Linked DNA regions of Arabidopsis thaliana. The protein of the gene in region 1 interacts with the protein of each later gene in a pairwise test. Each region holds a gene or a part of one and is shown on either strand. Other genes may lie near its edges.

Region 1 (7,818 bases):
AAGCGTTTGGTTATTAATTTTGTACGGTTTTCGATTATTGTAAACCAAAAACCTAAAAAGGCTCGATTGTTTCTAAACCGGTTAAAGTTGTATTTCTTCTCTGTTCAATTCTTTCAGTTCTCTCAAGTCTCAAACACTTCAACACTGTAGGGTTTAGGGTTTATGGTCAAAATCCCTGAGACAGAATTTGGGAACGAACCCAAATCAAGCTGAAGTCGAAACGATTGGATGCGGTGGTCGATTGCGACTGCGATTGCTTCAACGGCTAAGGGGTTTCTTCATCTTCATCACCATTTTCTGAAGAACAGTAATCCTGGGATTGTTCTTTCTCCGTCGTTGAGATTTCGTTTCTGGGTACGAGCTTTTTCTGGTACTACTATTGATTATCGAGAGGTATTGAGAAGTGGGCTTCACAATATTAAGTTCGACGATGCATTTCATTTGTTCGTACTCATGGCTTATTCTTACCCTCTACCTTCAATTGTTGAATTCAATAAAGTATTGACTGCTATTGCTAAGATGCAGATGTATGATGTTGTGATTAATCTCTGGAAACGTATTGAGAATGCTGAAGGTATTGAAATTTCACCTGATCTCTATACTTGTAACATTTTGGTGAATTGTTTCTGCCGCTGCTTTCAACCCTCTTCGGCTTTATCTTATCTTGGGAAGATGATGAAGCTTGGTATTGAGCCTGACATTGTGACTGCTAGCTCGCTGGTCAATGGATTCTGTCTCAGTAATAGTATTAAGGATGCTGTTTATGTGGCTGGCCAAATGGAGAAAATGGGAATCAAACGTGATGTTGTAGTCGATACCATACTCATTGATACTCTTTGCAAAAATAGACTTGTGGTTCCCGCGCTGGAGGTTCTCAAACGTATGAAAGACAGAGGAATTTCACCGAATGTTGTTACCTACAGCTCTCTCATAACTGGCCTTTGTAAATCCGGTAGATTGGCTGACGCCGAGAGACGACTGCACGAAATGGACTCCAAGAAAATCAACCCTAATGTTATCACTTTCAGTGCATTAATCGATGCATATGCAAAACGTGGGAAACTGTCGAAGGTTGATAGTGTGTACAAGATGATGATCCAAATGTCTATAGATCCTAATGTTTTCACTTACAGTTCACTTATCTACGGGCTTTGCATGCACAATCGTGTAGACGAGGCCATTAAAATGCTTGACTTGATGATAAGCAAGGGGTGCACCCCAAATGTAGTCACTTACAGTACTCTTGCAAATGGATTTTTCAAGTCGTCGAGGGTAGATGATGGGATTAAACTTTTAGACGACATGCCTCAAAGAGGCGTGGCTGCAAACACAGTCTCTTGCAACACTCTTATCAAGGGCTATTTTCAAGCAGGCAAGATAGATCTCGCTCTAGGAGTTTTTGGATATATGACTTCTAATGGTCTGATTCCCAATATTAGGAGCTACAACATTGTGTTAGCTGGTCTATTTGCTAATGGGGAGGTAGAGAAAGCATTGAGCAGATTCGAGCATATGCAAAAGACTAGAAATGATCTTGATATTATTACATATACTATCATGATTCATGGGATGTGCAAGGCTTGTATGGTGAAAGAAGCATATGATTTGTTCTATAAACTCAAGTTCAAAAGAGTGGAGCCCGATTTTAAAGCATACACGATAATGATCGCAGAATTGAATAGGGCTGGCATGCGGACTGAAGCAGATGCCTTGAATAGATTTTACCAAAAGCACGTTCGCCAAAACGAAAGCGCACCAGCTGAAGTATCCTAGGAGAATTTTCTTGAGAGACATTTACAGACTCGGAGCTTGCAAAGATATCTCTCTACAGGCTCCCTCTTATCGGATGCAAGAACACAAATCTTGATGGAAGCCAGTGTATCAAAAGATACCACGATGTGTCCAGATAATTCAATCGCACTGTTGAACAAGGAGCTGAACAATGAGCGGAAACAATCGCATGGTCTTAGAATCATGAAAAGTCCTGAAGTATTTGGTTAGTAATAAGCTTTCTATCCCTCAAAAGACATACACTAAGGTTTATGAGTATCAATTACTCTTTTTTATCAAGAATTCTTCTCACTGTGTTTTTAATTCTCTTGCAGGTTTCCAAACTGCATCTGGATACTAGGGGATGCGCTACTTGGATGATAGATTGAACCCTTTCACATGTTGGGATGCAAGCAAATATGGATTTTGGGACTCCTCATGTATCCCATACCACAAACATGTTCCTTAACATGCTACATTCTTTCTTCTACTAACTTGCTCTGTTTCTGAGTTGTATTCGTTACCAATGATCACTTCAGGTTGCTTGATATTATTTGAATCAAGCTTCCATAATGTTTGTAAAAGAACCAGTTTTTCCCACTATATGGTGGAAGTGTGTAAGTACTTAAAGATGATCTTTTGATGTTATAAAAAACACAGCACCACCCGACAAGGAGAAACTGTTTACATAAGAAAACAGAAATAGAATTGAATCCAGAATCCAGAACTTAGAAGTATCAATCATATATCTTTAAGCATCACAGAACAAAACGACCCCAAAGAAGCAAAAGTTAAATTTTCTGAGAATTCTTCTTTTGTTCTTTGGGAAAATGCAACTTGATAAGAGAAGGAAGATCGACTAGCTCCACTCGCTGCTTCCCGAGCAAAATGCTCTTGAGCTTCTCATCACAAATCACCACATTCTTGTTCTTAGGATCCTGTAAGAAACAAAACCAATCAGTCAATGAGACAAAACATTTTAAAAAAAAATCTTTAGCTTAAATAACTTAATGATCAAACCTGAAGATTGTTGGTCTTGATATAGGACCAGACACGCATGAAACAACCCAGACGGGAAATCTGAGATTGACCAACAAAGTTCCGTAGAGTAGATGGAAGATTCACGAGGTCAATCAAATTCCCAAGCTTCTTTGGATTATCCGTTATAGCCTTCTTCAACCTCTGGGGCAGCATCCTGATTCTCAACCCACGAGTAAACCAGAAATTCGACTGCCGCGGAAAAGCAAAAGAGAAAAAACGTTAATTACCACTGACAATCCCTTTGGGGAATTTCATCGAGCATGTGGCGTCCAAATGAAAAGCAAACGACCCTACGTACAAAAAGCTTTTTAAGAAAGCTTACCCGTGGAAATGGTAGAGGAAATTGAAAGCAACAAGTCCGTGTAAACCAACTGACTCGCTTTTAACCCGTAATGCTTGCGATGTTTTACGCTTCGACCTTGGAGGTATTCTCGCGTTTGAACGCTGGAGCTGCGATAGAGTCAAAAAGTCTTCTTAAGAACAAGGAAGAGACTACATTGTGTTACTTTGTGACTTGACTATTGGGCCGCGTTTTCTTTTACATTTGGGCTGAATAATAATATATCCTTGTGACTTGGAATGATTGTTGTGGATGACGTGTAATGCAATAATTTAGTTTAAACAACAAAATCGTCATACTCCAAATCTTCAAAATCTCAATTCTTCCGTTTAGTTTGTCAAAATCAATTGGAAAATCCAAAACAAATCAGCGTGATAATTATTCCATTAAGATTCTCACAACAACTGTTTTCTCTGCTCTTGTGGATATGAATGTATCAAGCCTAATTTCTAAAGGTCATCGATTGTCATCAAATTAAGCATATCACTAATATTGTCATCAACAAAAAAACATACATAATTAAACATCATTGACCAGCCGTAAGTCATCTAACATCACACATCCCTAACAAATTGCAAAAACAAACTCTAATTGACCATTGTTAAATATCTAAGACCTAAGGATATTTAGGGAGACGTACACTGCATACTAGTCGACCATCGAATGACAAAACCGATCTATTTGTCCCATAGATCTCGTCATCAACATTATACAACTTGGCACTTACATTCTCACAAACGGCTGACATGTACTGTTCTCCCCATAAAGCAGAAGTTCCTGGATAAAACCCTACTCTCCCAGAAAACACCATATCAAGACCCACCACACCTCCTGTCACCGCCACTTCATCCTCCATTTCCCAAGCCGCCTCTTCATCGATAACTTTTGTTTCGTTTCTCTTGACAATAACCTCGTTCTTCTCTCCGCCTTTCTGCCAGAACGAATCAGCTCTTGCGGTCGACACGAGCTTTCCCCGGTGAACCAGCCACACTGAAGGATTCTCGTACGTGACATGGAGTTTCTCGTTAGGGTTTTTGATAGAGAACGTTGCGGACCAGACCGGGAGATTGTGGTTGGCGAACGATATATGCATTGATTGTACGTGTACTGTGGGGGGAGTTGGCGTAATCAATATGACAAACGTCACACCTGCTACACAAGCACCCATGATCGTGATGGCTAGAAAGAGTTTGAAAAGTAGTGACCAGTGTGAGATATTAGCTGGTTCGGATTCTTGGTGGCTCCGTGATGATATTGGTCGGAGTTCCGGGACTTTTTCGGTATCAATGACGGTTATCAGAAGCTGTTGATTCATTTCTTCAACCAGGTTTTGTTCATCATCCATATTGGGATTTATACAAGTGCTGATAATGTTTACTTGTTTATATGATGATATCTCAAAACAATTAGAGAAAAAGATTTATCTAGTAGAGATTATAAAAATTAAAGATATTAATAATTAAAATCTTTATCATTTTTTCTGATTGTATATATAATAGATAAAATGATTAATAAAATCATTGATTTCTATAATCTCAACTAGATGAATCTTTTAGTTTCTATAGAATCATTTTATCCACTATACAAGATTTTATTCCTTCTAATATATATACCCTGAAATTCTAATAATAATATACTAGAATAAAATATACTATTTTTGCAACATAAAATTCATTTTGTTTATTATGTCAAACTTCAGCATTCATGCAAGATTTTGAGAATAATCTAGTGATGATATAATTTTAAATTAAAATATATAAAATAGTTCAACAAAGTTAATATATTTTATACACAATATAAAATATATATATATTCCCGATTAGCAAACAATGTACTTAATAAATCAGGCAAAAAAAAAAACACAGAAAATTGCTGCCAACTATTCCGCCTCAATGTCCGGTGGGAAACTCGCATTTTCCATATCCTGCAATCAACGAAAAAATAATTTTGTTAGAATTATATAAAAATATTAAAGGTCACCATATATATCGATCTTACAGAAACGTGAACATCTTAAAAGGCCAAAATGACCCAATATAGCTCAACTTTCACAACCGCCAACTACTAAACCATTTGCCACTATCTTTTTCTTTTTTTCAATAAACATACCAAATGAATTTTTAAGCATAAATAACAGCTAAATATACACTTCTGAATTGAACTAAAGCAAAATATGTAATGTTATGATAAAAACAGAGGAGAGATTAGATTAACGTACGAGGAGGTTGCGTGACGACGTGAGCAGCTCCACCAAAGAAGCACGTACCAACACGACGTGAGTTCTTCTGGTAGTAACTATTGAAGGCGTACGAAGCGTGAGCTTCTAACGACTCAGGATGATAACACGTGGCACCTGGCTGAATCGGGCGGCAATCAGCTCCTCCTTCTCCGCAAGCGTAATCAAGAGCCTCCTGAAGTTTCTCCTTCGCTACCTCTCCGTTCGAAACGCACCATGTATGTCCCTCGTGCGTCACCGGAACTTTACCTCTGTTACCGTTGACCGGCGTCGTTGACTTTTTAGTGAACGGAACGTTGTACACTTTCCCTTCGTTTGGGTAAAACAAACCGTAGTTTCTCTCAGACGTTGGCCCCGGTTTCTGGTTTTCGTTGAATAAAGCGAATAAATAGACGTTAAGTGGCTCCGTCGGTCTTAACGGTGTTCCTTTACCCGTTAACACTCTCTTCACAAGTCCGGCGTTATACGCCGCCGCGTTAGATTCGCTTGCACCAATCTCATTCTCATCTCCAACGGAAGGCCACCCTGTTTCCGTCACCATCACCTTAACGCCTTTAAATCCGACGGCGGACAATGCCGCGTAAACGGCGTCTATTTGAGCGTCAAAGAGACTGTTGTACTTCAATCCGGTACCGGAATCTATATTCCCGGCGTTTTCTTTAAACAGAGCGTAGTCTAAAGAGATTTTATCGGCGTTTGCTGCGTAAGCGAAAAACGGATAAGCATTTACCATAAGATACGACGACGTTTGTTGAAGCAGAGCAAGCATTGGTTTAACAACCGGTTCGATTAATTCCGGTTTAAAAGAACCAGAGGAAGGCGGGTACGAATTAGCAAGCGCGCTAAGAGCAATAGGAGACGAGATCTTGATGGCTTTGTCGAGTTTATACTTAACCAGAGAGGTGTGAATGTTCTTCATCGCATTGACAAGATACGGCGTGATCGTCGGATCGACGAATACTTCGTTACCGACGGCGATAGCTTCGATCTCCGTCGCTGGGAAGTATGGCATTATGTGGGTTTTAATCCAGTTGTCGGCGAATGATTGGTGGGAGGCGGCGGAGGAGAGAAGCTCGTTAGGGAGAGCGACGATTACTTTGATTTTGGAATTTGCAAGTGCGGTTAGTACATTCTTATCGGTGTCGAAGATTTTGATACGGTTGATTCCTTGAGATTTCAGGAGGTTCACTACTTTCTCCGGCGACGGGAGATTGTTAGCTATCCGACCATAATTGACTCCGACCATTCCAGAATCTGTGGAAACAAAAACAAAAAAAACGCAAAATAAGAACAACGTAGTAGACACGGCAAATACAGAGACAGACATAGGTATATGAAGAGATTAAAAACTAACGTGCGTCAATGGCTGAGAGGAAGGAAAGAATCAGAAAATAAGGTAAGAAAGAAACGGCCATGGTTATTCTCGAGTGTATCTTCAGAAACAGAGCATTAAACGCATAGATGAGTGTCGTTTGATAGTTATGGAGACGAAGGAAAGTTTTTGTTGCGTTTGGGACGGAGCTGGTCTACAGTATTTATACGATTTAGGTGTAAACAAGTGCCAAGTGGGGGTTGTGGGATAACTAATAACACGGAAGAATAGCTGAAATAATAGATTTAACTAAAACTGTATAATTTTAAAGCTCTATTTATAGCAAAAAGTTTTACTTTACCATAATCTTCAGTTAAAGGAACTCTCTATAATTTTGATGTTTTTCTAACATATGAATGTTTTCATAGTTGATTTTGGTTATAACAGAAACCTAACAAAAACCTTGACTTTTATTGTTTCTTAAACAAGAGTCAAGACCTAGGTTCTTTATATGTTGCATTGCGCATATTTCGTTAATTCATCATCATTTCTTTCTTTTGTGAAGAGTGTGTGACAGACTTTATCTCCTTCAACTAATCTTTTTGTTAATACACAAAGTGACATGATTTATAGATTTAACAATTTATTTATTTCTTCTATGTCAAATTGTCAAGTCTTCAACAGATGATGAAATCATGGAGAGTGGTGGATAGGAGGACTCACGTCACGTGAGATCAGGAACTGCAACCTAAAATATTTAACCAAATGAAATTGTCTAGTGGGTTAGATGTGGCCCAATAAAAATATAAGCCCATTATAACGAAACGACAGATTTGAACATAACTAGCAGCCGTTGGATTAAAAGAGAACCTAGAGAGAATATGAACCGTTGGATAGATGCCCTACGATTTATGATAGAGAGGAATCCGATGCGTCCAAGTACAAAAGCCACGGCCAATTAGAGAGATTTTCAGAGTCAGTCTTTTTATATTCATCTCTCAGCATCATTCTTTGATTGTGTGAATCTCTCATCGTTCTCTCAAATTTCGTGTTTTTGTAACCGGACGGAGAACCTTTCACGATGTCTGCAAACCAGGAGGAAGACAAGAAGCCAGGAGA
Region 2 (8,090 bases), on another chromosome or scaffold:
TCATATATTTTTTGTTATTGATCAAATACTTTCTTAAACAATAATTTATAATTTATAACACAAACAGGATAAATATTTAATTCACGTAGTTATTTAAGATGTGTGTATAATAACCTTATACATCACTTAATTTGCACATAGGGGATTAGCAAAAAAACAAAAGTGATTTATAATTGTGGCGTGATATATAGTTTGAGTTTAGTATTTTCTTGGCTATGCTCTTTACTTCTTTAGTTATAAATATTAATTATACGCTACATTTATAAAATTATAAATCGATATTAGAAGATATATGATTGGATTGAAACTATAAAATCATGTCTTCTTTACAAAAGCTACATCTTTTTTAGCACTCACGGAATTATACTGCTCAACAGAGTCTCTACGTTGAATGACTAGTCTTCTTCATAAGCAACCTAGCTCATAATGGAAACTCCAAGAGTTATATTAAGCTCTTGAGCAATTGTGTCTGTCTTAAATATTAAAAGTCTTAAAAAAATGAGGATCTTTGCACCATTGTCATTGTTTAATTATCTCTCTGTGACCACGAACACGGCAAGCTCTCAGATTATTCTTATCATCTTGTCTCCATAATTGTCTATTATTGCTTCCTTCATATTCTCTAGAGTACATAGTCATAGATATGCAAGATATATATAAGAACATGACAGCTAGGAGTAACTTATACTAAAAGAAAAAGCTGGAGGCTATGATAATCGATAGATTACACAATGATGGTAGGCGAATCATGTATTCGTGGACCTCGCGGTACGTACATTTCTTCCTAATATGTATCTATTTCCGTAGCGTTCTATTGTTTAATGGGGGAGACAAAGAAACAGATGTTGCAGCAAAATACACTAGATAATGAAACATGACAGAAGAGAAATCAAAATAAACAAAAGAGTTTATTCACCAAATGATTAGAATTTGGTCATAAACAATGAAATAGACTAATACCAGAATGTTGACCACTTATAAATCTTCTTCATGATTCCATTAACGTTGTCCTCTGTTTTCTTGTCCCCCTCAATGATTTGGTTTGTACTTTGTAATTCAACTGATAATTCACAAATACTCTGCACTTGGGCTGCTTAGTGTTAAAACAGAGCATATAAGAAAAGATTGTTCAAGAAGATAATAGTCTCTTCTTGCAGCCAAACAAGAGAAACGATCTCTTTATTCAGATACTCTGCCTGATTTAATACCCCAAACATATAGCGTAATTGTCAAAGCAAATATGATTTGCTTGATCTCTCAAGCAACAATCCCAGGCAAGATCAATAACCAAAATTGTTCACAAGAAACAATCTTTACTCAGATACTCTGCCTCATTTACCCCAAACAGATATTGCAATTGTCAAAGCAAATATTATTTGCTTGATCTCTCAAGCAACAACCCAAGGCAAGATCAATAACCAATTATGGTATTCACAATAGCTCATAAGAACAGAGTACATGACACTGAAGGCAAGAAGCTGATACAAACAGAATAATAGAATATGACTGTTCATATAGAAACACAGCAACAACTTTCACCCAATCAATAACTCGAGTGTTAAGGAAACCTTTAGAAATCTCAAGTGACAATAATATTACCAACAAAGTTACTATTATAAATCACTGCTGGTCCCTTAAGAATCGAACAGCATATTTCGAAACAAATTCATTGCTTTTGGAGTAACACTACTTCAAAAATGAAATATGGACTTGCATAAAGAAGAAAGTCGGTAAAGCTCAGCTAGAGGATACCATTTATGGAACCAAGCCTTGTTCTTTAGCTTTTTTCAACCATTTCAAGGTAGTTTCAAGTGTAGAGTACGCAGAAGCATCTGACAAACTCTTGCTATCAACTGCATAATCAAACACTTCATAAGCCTCTGCGACCTTGCCACTTTTAACCAGAGACCTCACAAGTGTAGCATAACCATTACTCTCAAGCTTTACACCACTTGATTTCATCATTTCATATAACTCCATCCCTTTATCCATCAACCTTGCTTTACACAATCCATGAAGCAAAGTATTATAAGTACAATCATTTGGAGCACACCCTCTTGCTTCCATTTCTTCTAACAAACTCAACGCACCTAAAGACTCACCTTTTCTACACATTCCATTCATCAGTGATGTGTAAGTAGCAGTATCCGGCTCATACCCCGCATCAACCATAGTTTTCAAATACATCCTAGCTTCCTCAACTCTACCAGCTTTCGACAGTCCAAATATCAAAGTATTGTAGGTAATCTGATCTGGCTCAACACCTTCTTCCTTCATTTTCTTATACACACCAACCGCCTCACTCCCTTTACTCAGTGTGCAAAAACCTTTCATAATCGTGTTATAGAGGAAACAATCCGGCTTAAACCCAGCATTACCTAACTTACTAACTAGATACATTGCCTCCCTCAAGTTCTTAGAGTTACAAACATTATCAATCAAGATAGTGAAGCTAACAAGATCCGGCTTAACATCGAAATCATCTCTCATCTCATCAACAAACTCATAAACAACATGAAGATCTTTGCATTTGCACAAATGCTTCAGTAGAAAGTTATAAGTATATGTATCCGGAGGAGAGTGTTTCTCAGTGAGCTCCTTCATCAAATCCTTAGCTTCATCAACCCGACCCGTTTCGCAAAGAGACCTCACCGCGATATCGGTAGTTACTTGATCAGGCTCTAAACCATTATTAACCATGAGATTAAGAACTCTATGAACATTCGAAATCGACGAATCAGGAGCTCTACAAGCATGTGAAAGCAAGATAAGGAACGTTGAACGTCCCGGCCTGAAATTAGGCTGCGATTTCAAAATATGCTGAAAGAGTTTCACCGTATCGTTGACGACGGCGATTGAACCGTATGATTGAAGAACAGAGTTGTGGAACTTGAGATCGAGTGGGATTCGTGAAGTGGCGGCGATTGAATTGAAGAGGCTTTTAGCGTCTGAGAGATTTGGTGACTTGAATGGATTCCTCAAGGAGGGCTCGCGAGGGGCTTGAGTATTCTGGGGAAGTTTGGCTGAATCTCCTCCCACGGCGGTTCTGTTGCGAAAATCTCGCGGCGGCGCTGGAGGAGATGGTGTTGTTTTTCTGACCAATAAGTTCGCCGGCATACTACGAAACGACGACGGAACTTTCCCCATTTTTTGTTTTCTTTCGATTGATCGCAAAAAGGTTTTAGCTTTAGGGTTCTTGCAGAGGTTTTTGTGACTCTGTTGTGTTGAAAATGGACAGAGGACGGCGTATAGTAGTTACACTCGTGTACTCTAGTTGCTTACGTTAGCAAATGAGAGAAACCGTGGCAAGACATTGGGCCTATTGGGCTTGTTAATATCGGCCCAAAGTGTGGGTGAAGATGCATTTTGTCTGTTGTGTTGAAAATGGACAGAGGACGGCGCATGGTAGTCTGTTGCTTACGTTAGCGAATAGGAAAAACCGTAGAAATACATTGGGCCTATTGGGCTTTTGAATGGTAGCCCAAAGTCAGTTTGTGCGATAGCCTCTCTCCCTCAAGGCCTCAACACAGTATTTTCTTTGCTTTCTGTACAAGTTTGTGGGCAAAGCCCTAAAAACAACAATCTTTCCGCAAAATGTTCTCTAAAGAACCGAAAGATCTTCTGTGTTTTCTCAATAAACCCCATACAAGAACATTGTTCTACAGACCAAATCAATAGAGATTAAAGAAAGGTTTTGTAAGGAAGAACACATTTTGTATGAATTTTGAACATGTTCAAGAGTTTGTGTTCACCTCAATATCTAAGAGACCTTTTTTGTATGACTTTTGCAATTCTTTAATCAACAACTACAATTTTGTTGATTTCCAAATGACCAAATGCAGAGATTTATCATTAAGAAACAAAACCTCAGAATTTGTTTTATTAGATAACTAAAAACGAAATGAAATGTTCTAACACAAAAGTTGTCAAAGGGCTCATAAGGCTCAAAGCTACATTCTCTTAGGATTAAAACTTACTCAACAAACAAAAAAAAAAGATTAAGCAAAAGTGAAACAGAGCCATTTCTTGACCGCTGGTTTATCACCATCTTGTTTCCTCTGTGAATTCGTCTTCGTCGAACTCCGTCCCGTCTTTTTATCTTCACCGGCTTTGCTGAATATCACCGTGAATCCATCCGCCGTCGCTGGATCATTCACATCCCATTCCCCGAATTTCGGCAATGCCCTTCCAGCTTCATTCGACGCCATTATCGATCAAGAAAGTAACAATCTTCTTCTTCTTCTTCGTCCTCTTGTTGTTGTTGATAAGTCAGATGGTTTTGTTTAAAGATTCTAACACAGGATGCAGATTTATTTATAATGGAGAGAAGAGAGAAAACAGATAAGTAAGATTGTGCTTTGAAATCTTCCTACGAAATGGACTCGTTTCAGACACGGCGGAATATTCTTTTGGCTACTTCTTTCTTTTTTTAATGTCTTAAAATCTTTCTGAGGCACAAAAATAACAAAATCGTTGGCCTTCCGCGTAACAAATCTAATTATAGCCAAATCATATCCATGGCTGATCTGTTTCTTCATTTTCACGCGGTGGTTTTATGATTCTCTGATCTTTGTTTCCTTACATACACACATGAACCAGAGACTAAGCTTTTTTGTTTCTTACATGGCGATTACAAGCTACCCATTTCATCAGCTTTCTTCCTCAGAAGATACTTTTGTACTTTCCCCGTCGAGGTTTTAGGTATGTCCCCGAAAACTATAGTCTTTGGAGCCATGTAATGCGGCAAATGATCTCGACAGAACCCGATAATCTCCTCGGGTTTGATGGTATCAAATCCTTCTTTCAGCTTTACAAAACCGCAAGGAGTCTGTCCCCAGTGATGATCTGGACGTGCTACAACAGCAGCTTCAAGAACCGCTTGATGGCTGCACAAAACTCTCTCAACCTCCACTGAGCTTATGTTTTCTCCTCCTGAGATGATCACATCTTTTAACCGGTCTTTTATCTCTATGTACCCGTCTGGATACTTAACAGCGAGATCACCACTGTGGAACCAATCTCCCTCGAAAGCTTTTCGTGTTGCCTCTATGTCCTTGAAATATCCACTCATCACAGTGTTTCCTCTGAACATAACCTCACCCATGGTTAAACCATCATCAGGGACAGTCTCCATTGTCAGCGGATCTTTCACATCGAGCCCTTCTAGACCCAAATGCTGCACTCCTTGTCTAGCCTTCAACTTAGTTCTCTCCTCCAACGAAAGTGAATCCCATTCAGGTTTCCACACGCAATGTGTCCCTGGACCGTATGTCTCTGTCAAACCATAAAGATGAGACACATTGAAACCTAATTCTTCCATCTTAGCCAGGATCTGCGGTAGAGGCGGTGACCCACCTGTCATGATCTCAACCCTGTGAGGAAGCGGTTTATGTTCAGTCACAGTATAGTTCACAATCATATTCAACACAGTTGGGGCTCCTCCCATGTGAGTCACTTTATGCATAGCAATGTTCTTAAAGATCATCTTAGGAGAGACTTTCCTGAGACAGATATTAGTACCACCTTGAGCTGCTACTCCCCAAACAAGACACCATCCGTTACAGTGAAACATCGGCACTGTCCATAAATACACCGGATAAACAGACATCTGGTGAAGAAAGACTGTAGCAAGAGAATTGAGATAAGCTCCTCTATGGCTATACACTACACCCTTAGGTCTCGAAGTCGTCCCTGAAGTGTAGTTTATACTAATAGGATCCCATTCGCATCTCGGTTTGATTATCTCAAACTCGCTATCTCCGGATTTAAGCAGAGTTTCATATTCGTAATCAAAAGAGTACTTTGAAGCAAAGGTAGATGAGCTATCTTCATCACTATCATCATCATCATTAGACTGAGAGATCAACACAAGCTTCAGACTTTTTCTAGTTTTATCTGATTTAGCAAGAAGATCAAGAGCTCCATGAGCAATCTCAAGTAACTGATGATCAACAAAGAGGATTTTGGCCTCGGAGTGTGCTAACAAAACCGACAATGTGGAAGGATCAAGTCGAGTATTAAGCGGACAAAGAATCAAACCAGCCATAGGAACAGCGAAATGAAGCTCATGCATAGCTGGAACATTCGGAGCTAAAGCTGCAACCTATAAAAGTTTCCTCTTTTATCACTAAACCTAAATCGAGAACCCTAATCAGAGCAGAAAATTGAACAATTTAAAGAGACTAACCACATCGCCACGAGAGATTCCGAGATTGGTAAGAGCAGAGGCAAGACGGAGACAACGTTGATAAGTTTGGAACCAAGTGTGTTTAACGGAACCAAACACAAGAGAGGTTCTGTCTCTGTAAACCTTAGCGGATCGCTCCAAGAACGTGATTGGAGATAAAGGAGAGAAATTTGCAGGGGAACGGAGAAGACCCTCTATAGTTCTCCATGATTCCGGCTCGGAATCGTCGGGAAATCCGCCGGAATTTGAGGTTGAGGAGAAGGGAGAAGAAGTTAACCACAGTCTCTGGAAACGTGGGTTGAAGATTCTGAATGCTCTTTTGGTTAACAAGAATCTCATGGTTAACACTTTGATTTGGCTGTTGTTCGACTTCTCAAAAAAAATTGAAACTTTATTGTATCTGTTGAAGTTTATCAAGACGAGTTTGATGATTCTCTGTTGTGGGAACTCATCAGATAATGACAGTCGTGCTGCCTCGTGATTAACGAACGGTGTGTGATTTACTGAATGGAAAACATTACAAGTTTCAAATTCAATTTAACGGATATATATATACTTTTAAATTGAATGCTTGCAATTTCATATAGGAGTTTTAGTACGCGACAAGTCACAAGAGACATTAATATAAATACTATAGAGAAATATGCTATAAACATAAGACAAGTTGGCATAATTTATGGTGGATCTATCTTCCTTGTACAATATTCATATTCCCCCTCTCGAGGTATACGATTAAGAACTATAGTAATCTTATAAAAAATATTATTCGATCCCTCTTTGATTAAAAAACAATTATCTGATTAAAGAGACCCTAATCACAATTACGAACTTGGACTCAATTACGGTCGCGACCAGATAAGGCCAAAGCCAACAAAAATATATACAAATGAAATGATATGAAATTAGTAGAAGTAGAACCATTCAAAGCGGTGGACACTGGAACACAACACAAACACAAGATCAACGAGAAACCAAACAACAACAGCGACCATCGAGAGAATCCACTAAGAAAACAAAATAGATTAAAAAGGGGTTTCTCAAAGTTTCTCATCATATCCATTAAAGTAGCCTCCTTTTTGCTTTCTCCGTCTCTCTCTCTTTTGTCCAATCAAAAAGAGTTTGTGATTCTTCTTTATCGTCTCCTTGGAGAGATATGAATGGCGATGAGCTTCCTTTCGAGAGTGGTTTCGAGGTTTACGCTAAGGGAACTCATAAGTCAGAGTTTGACTCGAATTTGCTTGATCCTCGTTCTGATCCTATTTGGGATGCTATAAGAGAAGAAGCTAAACTTGAGGTTTCCCTCAAATTCTAACACTTTCTCTGCTTCATCGATTCTTATTCTTGTTCAGATAAAGTAAATGTCATGGTTTTGCGTCTCCATGTTAATCCACAGTTGTTATAGTAGTATCCATTAGGGTTTAGAATTAGTCAGTCTTGTTTCTCTCTTTGAAAGCCTTGATATTTAATCCAACCAAACATAGGACAAGAAAGTTTGAGTACAGTTTGTGAAATGTTGAATCTTATAATGGTGAATCTTGTTGTGCGTTTCAGGCAGAGAAAGAGCCTATTTTGAGTAGCTTCTTGTATGCTGGTATCTTAGCACATGATTGTTTAGAGCAAGCTTTAGGGTTTGTTCTAGCCAACCGTCTCCAAAACCCAACCTTGTTGGCAACACAACTCTTGGATATATTTTATGGTGTTATGATGCATGACAAAGGTATTCAGAGTTCGATTCGCCATGATCTCCAGGTAAAACATTCCACCTAATACTGTAAAAAGACATGATCTTTGTTGTTTTCTTATGTATCTCAATGATTTGCAGGCATTTAAAGATCGTGATCCTGCTTGTCTGTCGTATAGTTCTGCTATTTTACATCTGAAGGTAATTCTTTACTCGAAGTTG

The links. The genes of interacting proteins can lie anywhere in the genome.
Region 2: the proteins of AT4G26810 (region 1) and AT2G17670 interact in a two-hybrid assay, tested with the Arabidopsis thaliana proteins (one large-scale study listed by BioGRID).

What each region holds. Positions count from the first base shown.
Region 1 is NC_003075.7:13,489,686-13,497,503, forward strand, and holds AT4G26810 (SWIB/MDM2 domain superfamily protein), read right to left. Parts: upstream 3,331-7,818; 5' UTR 3,134-3,330; intron 3,101-3,133; exon of another isoform or gene 3,001-3,100; 5' UTR 2,965-3,000; coding exon 2,791-2,964; intron 2,709-2,790; coding exon 2,562-2,708; 3' UTR 2,393-2,561; downstream 1-2,392. Other genes in the region: AT4G26800 (Pentatricopeptide repeat (PPR) superfamily protein), read left to right, coding at 229-1,773; AT4G26820 (GrpE-like protein), read right to left, coding at 3,768-4,496; AT4G26830 (O-Glycosyl hydrolases family 17 protein), read right to left, coding at 5,041-5,075, 5,370-6,714; SUMO1 (small ubiquitin-like modifier 1), read left to right, coding at 7,781-7,818.
Region 2 is NC_003071.7:7,669,477-7,677,566, reverse strand, and holds AT2G17670 (Tetratricopeptide repeat (TPR)-like superfamily protein), read right to left. Parts: upstream 3,249-8,090; 5' UTR 3,148-3,248; coding exon 1,756-3,147; 3' UTR 1,291-1,755; downstream 1-1,290. Other genes in the region: AT2G17660 (RPM1-interacting protein 4 (RIN4) family protein), read right to left, coding at 3,999-4,208; AT2G17650 (AMP-dependent synthetase and ligase family protein), read right to left, coding at 4,631-6,103, 6,188-6,526; ATSERAT3;1 (Trimeric LpxA-like enzymes superfamily protein), read left to right, coding at 7,341-7,481, 7,739-7,936, 8,010-8,069.